Arabidopsis thaliana: one gene and its partner. The protein of the gene in region 1 purifies or fractionates together with the protein of each later gene. This does not show direct contact. Each region holds a gene or a part of one and is shown in the gene's direction. Other genes may lie near its edges.

Region 1 (5,053 bases):
ACCGCGGGTTAATATCTAGTGCAAACATATTTAGTAGGAGTATCATAAAAAATCTCAAACATTATAAATAATACTTAAAAATTCCTTATGATACCATATGAGTATCACCCATATACATGCTATTATTGTGGGTAAAAATAGATAGTTTTGCGCAAGACCTATTAAATTATGAATATTTTGATTATTTGTTCCATAATTATTAAAATTTGAACATTTTTGTTGTTAGCGCAAGATTCAATCCTTGCTTTGGGGAAAAATTAAAGCTATACGTAATTTCACTGATCGTTTTTGGAAAGAAACATGGAAATTAAAAGGTGAGCTTTTTTTTTAGTTGCTGCTTCTCTATTGATGAGTTCCTAGCGTTATGTGGAATCTAGAAACTTTGTGATTTTGTTTATAATCTATGCTTACTCTTTTCTCATGTTTACGCTTCTAGATGATAAACAACGAACACGTTGGAATAAGTCCTACAACATCTTGTTTGGGATGGAGCCAGGAAGTTCTGAGATGAATCTATCTTATATGCCCAACTACAAAGGACTTTGTTGATTTCATGTTTGAAAAGCAAAAGCCTATCCAATTCTTCACTCCAACGGTTAATTTTAACCACATTCGCGGTTCTACTATATATCCTTAATGAAATGTAGATTCTAGGACCTTAAAATTGTTTTTCCTCTGTGGCAGAGAACTTTTTCTACATCGATGCCCATGAAAGTCTCTTGACTTCTTGCCTCCTACTATTTTATGCATCCTAAAGCGAATCTCGATAAGGTTGTAATCTCTATTATATCCATCCTAAACACCGTTTGTGTATTCTCCATGTGTTTGATTCCTTTTGAATGTTTTGGTTCCTAGCTGAAACTCCAATATGAGGGGTTAGAGCATTAGTTATTCAACCTAAAACTCCATTATCTCTGACTCAAAGACCTATCATTGTCTTTAGTGTGACTCCAAATTATGAGGCTTTCTCTCTACCTTGCAAGATCAAACTTGAAAGAAATCTTGATAAAATCCTAACTTCAGGAAAATTGTGTATATACATATGTCGTTTAATCGATACTCTACATGTTTGCTTGTTTAACAACGATATGTGTGTACGTTTTGTGCATACTATTTTCAGCAAATAGTTTTTTTCATAGAGAAATTAAATTTTAGTAAATACACGAATATTATAATTATGATCTCACAAAAAAGAAAAAAAAAACCGAGATCTTCAAATAAATATAAAACTTACTTACATAGACATGCAAAGCCTTCTTGACATGCAAATGGATGTTGTCCATGTTCCTAATAGAGGGGATGAAACCAATCCACAAAATTTATTTTTACTAAAGTGATGAGGACTTATAGCCTTAGAAATATAGTAATTATGAGTATCCAAAACAGAACAGTTGGTCTTCTTAAATAAAAAAAATAAAAAAAATAATTAGATGTTTATAATAATATCTTATTATAACAGTTGGTCCTCTTAATTTTTTTTTAAAAAGAGATAATTAAATGTTTATAATAATATTTGTAAATTAACGATGTCGGCTCACTAGATTTACGATGATTGACGTATTTGTTTGTAAATTTTATGAAATTACGTTCATTAAATTAAATATTTAAATACTAAAGATTAACAGCTAAAGAAATCTTAATGAAATATTGCCATCTTTGGGTTTTAAATTTTCTATTTTTCATATTTCATATCGGATATCCGATTAAAAATGAAATCAGTAAGTATACCAAAATACAAGCGTTATATTTATTGGGCCTATTCGGGCCATTCAATAATTAATTCACCCACGCGCAAATGAGTTAATCCGTAAAATAGGCTTTAAAGCCCATTCAATAAACCCGTTTCGCAGGAAAAAAGCCCATTAAATAAGTAATTTCCAGAAATACCCTTTTCCAATCATTGAAAATTCAAACTTGACCTAAAAAGTATCTGAAAAGCCAGCGCCTTTTTTCGTTACGAATCCGTGTTTTTGCCAGCTTTCAATCCAACGGCTCTCCTTTCTTCTCACAATCCGTAATCATCGCTCCCCACTCATTCATTATAAACAAAAACAAAAATCCACGGAGCCGATAAAAAAAAAAAAAAACTCTCTCAGATCTGAGAATCATTTCTTCTTCTTCTTCCTCACTTTGTTCATCATCTTCTTCTCCGATCTAAACAACAATGGCGACACCAGGAGCTTCCTCAGCAAGAGATGAATTCGTATACATGGCGAAACTCGCCGAACAAGCAGAGCGTTACGAAGAAATGGTTGAATTCATGGAGAAAGTCGCGAAAGCTGTTGACAAAGACGAACTCACCGTCGAAGAACGTAATCTCCTCTCCGTCGCTTACAAAAACGTCATCGGAGCTCGTCGTGCTTCGTGGAGAATCATTTCATCGATCGAACAAAAGGAGGAGTCTCGCGGTAACGATGACCACGTTTCGTTGATCCGTGACTACAGAAGCAAAATCGAAACGGAACTTTCTGATATCTGTGACGGAATCCTTAAGCTTCTCGATACGATTCTCGTTCCCGCTGCTGCTTCTGGAGATTCGAAGGTGTTTTATCTGAAGATGAAAGGTGATTATCATAGGTACTTGGCTGAGTTCAAATCTGGTCAAGAGAGGAAAGATGCTGCTGAACATACTCTTACTGCTTACAAAGCTGCTCAGGTTTTTGATCTCTTTCTCCGATCTGTGATTTGATTTTTGTGTGATTTAGGTTTTTGAAATTTTGGTTTGTTGTGTAGGATATTGCTAATTCTGAATTGGCTCCAACGCATCCGATTCGTCTTGGTCTTGCGTTGAACTTCTCTGTGTTTTACTATGAGATTCTCAATTCTCCAGATCGTGCTTGTAATCTCGCTAAGCAGGTTTGGATCTCATCTGAGGGATGTTTTATATGATTATGTATTGTTGGTTTATGTGTGTGTTTGATGAGTTTTTGTTTATGGATTTATTTAGGCGTTTGATGAAGCAATTGCTGAATTGGATACTCTTGGTGAAGAGTCATACAAGGACAGTACTTTGATTATGCAGCTTCTTCGTGATAACCTCACTCTCTGGACTTCTGATATGCAGGTATTATATATTGGCTCCTGTATGATTGATTTTGTTGCTTGAATTGTGAAACAATGAGCCTAATTAAGTCATTGACAAAAGTTAGATTTGGATATCAAGTTTATTTGATGCATTCTTCTGGTCTAATTCTGATTTTGGTGATTGTCAACTGTGTTAGTAATCTTGCTAGGTATTATATTTTGGCCTTATAAGCTTGTTTTTGTTGCTTGATGAACGAATAACGTTTTTGTTTCTTGATCTCTGAAACTTTTAGCCTATAATTAAACCATTAAGAAAGACTTGATTTGTAATAAAACAGTTTAGTTTACATTTGGATGCATTCTGCTGGCTCTGATTCTGATTTTAGTGATTGTCAAATGTATTTAAGCCTGTTTTGTTGCTTGATTTCTGAAACCATGAGCCTTGTTAAGCCATTGCGGAAGTCTAGATATGGAAAACAAACAGTTTAGTTTACATTTTGATGCATTCTCTTGGTCATATTCTGATTTTAGTGATTGTCAAATGTGTTTAATCCTGTTTTGTTGCTTAATTTATGAAATCATAAGCCTTGTTAAGCCATTGAGGAAGACACGAATTGAATATCAAGTGGTTTAGTTTACATTTTGATGCATTCCTCCTTATGCCTTGCTTAAGCCTGTTTGTGATTTCTGAAACCATGAGCAAGATATATGCCATTGAGGGAGACTAGATTTGGAAATCAAGTTGTTGCTTAGTTTACATTTTGATACATTCCTCAATCCTTCTTTCTTGTGGTCTGATTCTGATTATGATGATCTTGTCAAATGTTTTTTTCAATCAGGACGATGTTGCTGATGACATCAAAGAAGCAGCACCAGCAGCAGCAAAACCCGCTGACGAGCAACAATCCTAAGTCGTCTTACCGCAACTTTGTTGTCATTTCAGTATCTAAAACCTCTCCATTAATATGTTTTTCTCTTGGAGGTGTTTCTCTGTTGGTTTCTTATTTCCTTTTATCCCCAAGCTCTCTAAGGCAGTCTAATTCTTGTCCTTTTTTGCTGCTTTTCTCAACCGTGGATACGAAAACTCGATTCCTATTATTTTTCGTTTATCTGTTTCCATTTTATCGTGATTTGACTCCTATCTTCTGTGTCTTTGTTTGTAATGGATTCAACTTCTCTTTTTGTTTCAATGTCAAGAAAAATCTTTGGTTTATTTCGAAGTTTCCTCTCATGTTATACATATAGTGTACATAGCTTATAGCTTGAGTTTGCTCAGATTGATCCGTTCGACGGGATATGTATATGCCTCGAAGTTGATTTGCTGTCCTAAGCAACTTAGCTTTGTGAATGCAGTTATGAGATCAACCTACAAACATATTCATAAACCAAAACATGAGCTTGAGTTTGAGGTAGATGAATATATGATTAAGGCAAATCGAGTGAAAACGAACCTCGTAATCAGTCTGAGATACGGTTTCACGGCTTCTTTGATACTTCTGAACCCATGGAGCAACTTGAGGGTCAGTAGCTAAGAGCTGTTCTGTTGCAGCTTGATCAGGACCCAAGAATGCAGACATTACAGCTAGCTACAAATTCCTCATACAGGTTAGTTACTTCGAGTGATCCTAGTAGATAATTCTCTGTTTAAACCGAAAATCATGTACCTGACGAGGACCCAATCCAACAGCAATGAACTTATCTTTCATCTCTTGCACAGTTGCTTTCCCCCATTGTGGGACTCTGCCTTCTGGATCAGCCTCTGTTGCATCACTCCTTCCAAAATTTCTATCAAACAATCCCCACTAACAGATTCACAACGGTTCAGTATCGATTTGAACAAAACGCCGCGACTCAAAAGCGAATACGATAGCATTGTTTACCTGACCAGCTGAACCATATGCTGTGTAAAGTAAGTTCCCCTTCTCTTCATTTCCACCACATTTTCGGATAGCCGATGCTAAATATGTAAACTTGACCGCTGATTGTCCTACAGAAACCAACCCAAGAAAGATTTCAGTTATCCACAAAT
Region 2 (4,116 bases), on another chromosome or scaffold:
TGTCATACTCAAGAGTCTCATCCAAAATATGTAAAATATTCACAAGATACTTGAGTTTGGAGTACGCATTAACCCTAACATCCCTTGGATACCTATCAATGGCAAATACCGGACTTGACAGCAACTTCTCAGCGACATAAGTGTTTGAGGAGTGAATGTGGAGTGCATAAGATTCAGGAAAGTGATAATAAAATCTATAAGTATAATACTAAATATACGCATCTTCAAACAAAGAAACATCTCTATCAACACTTTTGTCACCTTCACACTTCTCATCTACATTTCTATCAGTTAAACCGTCATTATATGAGCTTAGACCGTTGATATGCTGCGTTGGGCCTGCAAATAAAGACATTAAAATGACAAACATTAGCCCAAAGACATGTTAAGCAGCCGACAAAATTAGGCACATCATTCACTAAATGCTGGTTCTAACCGTCTGATGATAAAATATATCTGTCAGCCCTCATGGCAGCTTCACTCCGATCATCTCCGTTTCCAACAGAACCACCTTGACTAGATGAGGTCAGCGGGCTAGAGATGTTTGTTGTTGCTACGAGAAGGAACAAATAAATAGAAATATTGATATAATGCAAACAACGTGAAGAGGAAACAACAATAAAGCAAGGTTTATAACCTTCAGAAGAACGATGTCCATTTTCAGATATGGCATCTACATTAGATGAGGTAAGATTGGGATCACCATCAGACGGAGCTGCAAGAACACACATCATATATAAAACTTTTCAAGCAAATTGTGTACATACCCCAAATTTGTCACACCTAACCTTCAGACGACACATCACTATCAACACTTATCTCATGTGAAACAGAAACATCTCTGTTGCAGTTGGAGTTACTGGAATGGATGAGGGCACAATAAAGGAAACTTTAGTAACACAAGAAGAATATTTTCAATATCACGTTAGATTGTAAAGAACACCATTACGCATAACTAGTTAAATTAGCTGTTAGAATATGTAGGCAAATTAAAGTGGTAAGAAGTAACAAATTTGAAGGAATGGGGATGTAATTGAGTCCCACTAATAATAGGAGATGCAATCAGAAATACTAGAGGCAACATAATTGTTGTGCCAAATTATAGAAAAATCGCAATGTTTGCAAAATTGACAAACGGGAGATGAACAAAATTAGTAGTAGGAGAAGGATGTATCCGAGGCAATACCTGCAACTGAGATCTTCTGCGTCGAGATCCGAAGCAGAATTTGCGAATTTCGCTGGATCAACAACTGTACAGCTGTGTCCCCCTTTCAAGTACTACGACGCCCTCGAGAAGGAGTAGAAGTTGGCAGAAGTTTCCAAGAGAAGTAGGGTTTGACTCGCTTGACGGAGGGTGGGAAGGAACGCGAGTTAGAATTCTAACGCCGGTAACTCCTTGTTGTCACCATCGAAGTCGATTAAAACCAAGATCACCTGATGGAGGCCAGAAATAAGAACAATGGCGATGGTGTAGAGAAAAAATGGCACGCATTGGACAAGAACTGGGGTGGGTAATTGCGTTTGCAATCGAATGAAGAAATCAGAGAGCTATGGTAGGAAATAAGTGAAGAAGTAGGTTTAGGGTGGAGATTTTTATTCGTAGACAGCACAAAAGCAGGTGAGAGACATATTGAGGAACAGTGTGAATGATGATAGCGAGAGAGATGAAAGAGTAATTTACAAAGAGAGAAATACTCAAATCCGAAAGACATAAGTTGGAGTGCCTATTTCCGAAAGGCACAATTATTTTAGTACTTTTTTGTAAATAACTTTAGAAATAAAAACATTTTGGTTAAAAGTGGTAAAATTGACCAAATTTCTTTAATAATATTGGACTAAATAATATTTTACATAATAATAAAAATTAATTTAAAAATACGAAAATAACTATGTTTATAGTGGTCCATTTCATACTCATAGTCATTGATAATAAACTGAAGAATTAAAACTAAATTTTACTGAATTTGAAAAAAAGATATATATATTTCTACGCAAAATATAAAGAAAGAGTCCGTTAAAGCCCAATTTCCTAAGCCTAATTAGTGAATCTCTCAAAACCCCTAAAAGGTTCCTTTAGTCTCTCTTCTCTACTTCTCACTTTTCATTTTGCGCCACCCAAACCCTAAAAGGCAACGAAGGTAAAAAAAATCTCCGATCTCTTTCACACAATTCCTCTCTTCCACCCTCACCGATTTCTGATTCTCCGGTTTCATTTCTCTCAATCTTATCAGTCAAAATCCGGCGAAGATGGTTGCAGCGAAGAAGACGGTATGATTTTTCTCTGATCTAATTCCACAATCCATGAAATTTTTGAGTGTACTGATTTTTTGTTGAATCCATTTCTTGCAGAAGAAGTCCCATGAAGGAATCAACAGCAGATTGGCTTTGGTGATGAAGAGTGGCAAATACACTCTTGGTTACAAATCTGTTCTCAAATCTCTTCGCAGTTCCAAAGGTATTAGAAACAAACTTCTCTGTTAGCTTATTGATTCATAAGCTATTGGTTTTTGAATGTTGTTGTTTGATTGTGTTGTAGGTAAGTTGATATTGATATCTAGCAATTGCCCACCATTGAGGAGATCTGAGATTGAGTACTATGCTATGCTTGCTAAAGTTGGAGTTCATCACTACAATAGAAGTAAGTTCTTTTCATGAACAAAGACTATACATTTGTCCTTACTGGTTTAGTATCATTGTACAACAGTTTTGTTTGAATGTAGTTAGGATTGTTTAGTAGAAATAGTTGTGGAAATGCAAATTATTCTGTGGGATTTGACAGTGAAGCTCTTCTCATTCACCATTTGAAATGCTCCAATACTGAATTGATCTGTTCCCAAGTTTGTGTACGTATTGTATAGATAGAGAGTGTAGTGTTGCAAATTATTTAGTAGAAACAGTTTGGTGTCATTGTATTAGTTTCCTTTATGGTCTATGATTGTTCTGTGTGTATGTGGTATTAGTGACCAATTCTTTACACTGTTTGCACTTCCCCAATAGGAATGCACTTAATACTTAAATGATATGTTCCTGAAAGTCTTGTATATGTTGGATTGTGTAGATAGAGTGTGTAATTTTGCATCTTACAAATCCATTAGGGTGATCCTTGTAGTTGTTTTAATGTAAGGACTAAATGGTGTAAAAGCCTGAACTCACTTATATCATATCAGTTTCCTCCTGCACCAGTGATTGTTTGTTTTATGTTTTCTGGTATTAGCGACCAATTTCAGTGAGAACCAGTGATTCAGAAGTTGTTCCTTACTTGCTTTTTTCTTTGAGAGTCTTGTAAACCTTGATTATGTTACTTAAGACTACAGAAACTGTTTATTTTTGATGAGTCTCTGCAACTATGTTATTTTATTGCCTGATTTTTTTTTTTTGTACTTGTTCCTTTTAGACAATGTTGATCTTGGTACTGCCTGCGGTAAATACTTCCGTGTGTCATGCCTCAGCATAGTTGACCCAGGTAACACACTCATTCATTGTCTTTTAGAATAATCATCTTACACATGCAATGTTAATCTTGGTTTGTTTACTTATGCAATATTTTCAGGTGACTCTGACATCATCAAGTCGCTTCCTGGAGACCAGTGATTTGTGCTTAATTATCATTTTGTCCTCTTTATCTACTTTATTCGAAGTAGTGTGTTTCTTCGTGATTTCTTCTTCTCTCGTCTAGAATTGTCATACTTGTTTAAGATCTTTGAAGACTTTGTAGGTTGTCTTGGTTTCTAAACAATTGTGGTAATTGAAAATTTCGACTCTCTGAATTAATACTAGAATGATATTCCTGCAGTCACTAAGTATTATATATGATATATAGGTTGACAAAAAAAGTAATTCTATGTATAGTTAACATTGGCATGAACACATGTTTTAGGTCTAAAATAAATATTACAAGAAATCTATGTAGTTTTCTCAAAATAAACCTAATTCTTTTAGATTTGGTAGGATCTATTACCAATAGTTTAATACATGTGTCCCTCAATAATCTCAACTCTACACCATATTTACTATTTAGTGTCATATAAAACAATTTCTTAAAAATTGAAATATAAATTGAAAATTTCATGAGAAAATACCATATAAAATTTCATTAGGAAATTTCTCAGCGTATTT

What was found. The genes of interacting proteins can lie anywhere in the genome.
Region 2: the proteins of GRF1 (region 1) and AT1G36240 purify together in Arabidopsis thaliana (affinity purification with mass spectrometry, with the first as the bait; one study listed by BioGRID). This does not show direct contact.

What each region holds. Positions count from the first base shown.
Region 1 is NC_003075.7:5,773,223-5,778,275, forward strand, and holds GRF1 (general regulatory factor 1), read left to right. Parts: upstream 1-1,987; 5' UTR 1,988-2,164; coding exon 2,165-2,656; intron 2,657-2,733; coding exon 2,734-2,856; intron 2,857-2,947; coding exon 2,948-3,064; exon of another isoform or gene 3,065-3,149; coding exon 3,150-3,216; exon of another isoform or gene 3,217-3,422; intron 3,423-3,567; exon of another isoform or gene 3,568-3,777; coding exon 3,778-3,935; 3' UTR 3,936-4,259; downstream 4,260-5,053. Other genes in the region: TL29 (ascorbate peroxidase 4), read right to left, coding at 4,280-4,390, 4,476-4,610, 4,689-4,826, 4,905-5,011. UniProt on the Arabidopsis thaliana protein: Is associated with a DNA binding complex that binds to the G box, a well-characterized cis-acting DNA regulatory element found in plant genes. Involved in the regulation of nutrient metabolism.
Region 2 is NC_003070.9:13,612,643-13,616,758, forward strand, and holds AT1G36240 (Ribosomal protein L7Ae/L30e/S12e/Gadd45 family protein), read left to right. Parts: upstream 1-2,247; coding exon 2,248-2,268; intron 2,269-2,349; coding exon 2,350-2,455; intron 2,456-2,536; coding exon 2,537-2,638; intron 2,639-3,394; coding exon 3,395-3,463; intron 3,464-3,550; coding exon 3,551-3,591; downstream 3,592-4,116. Other genes in the region: AT1G36230 (uncharacterized protein), read right to left, coding at 1-113, 219-339, 437-553, 638-715, 789-859, 1,187-1,268, 1,385-1,409.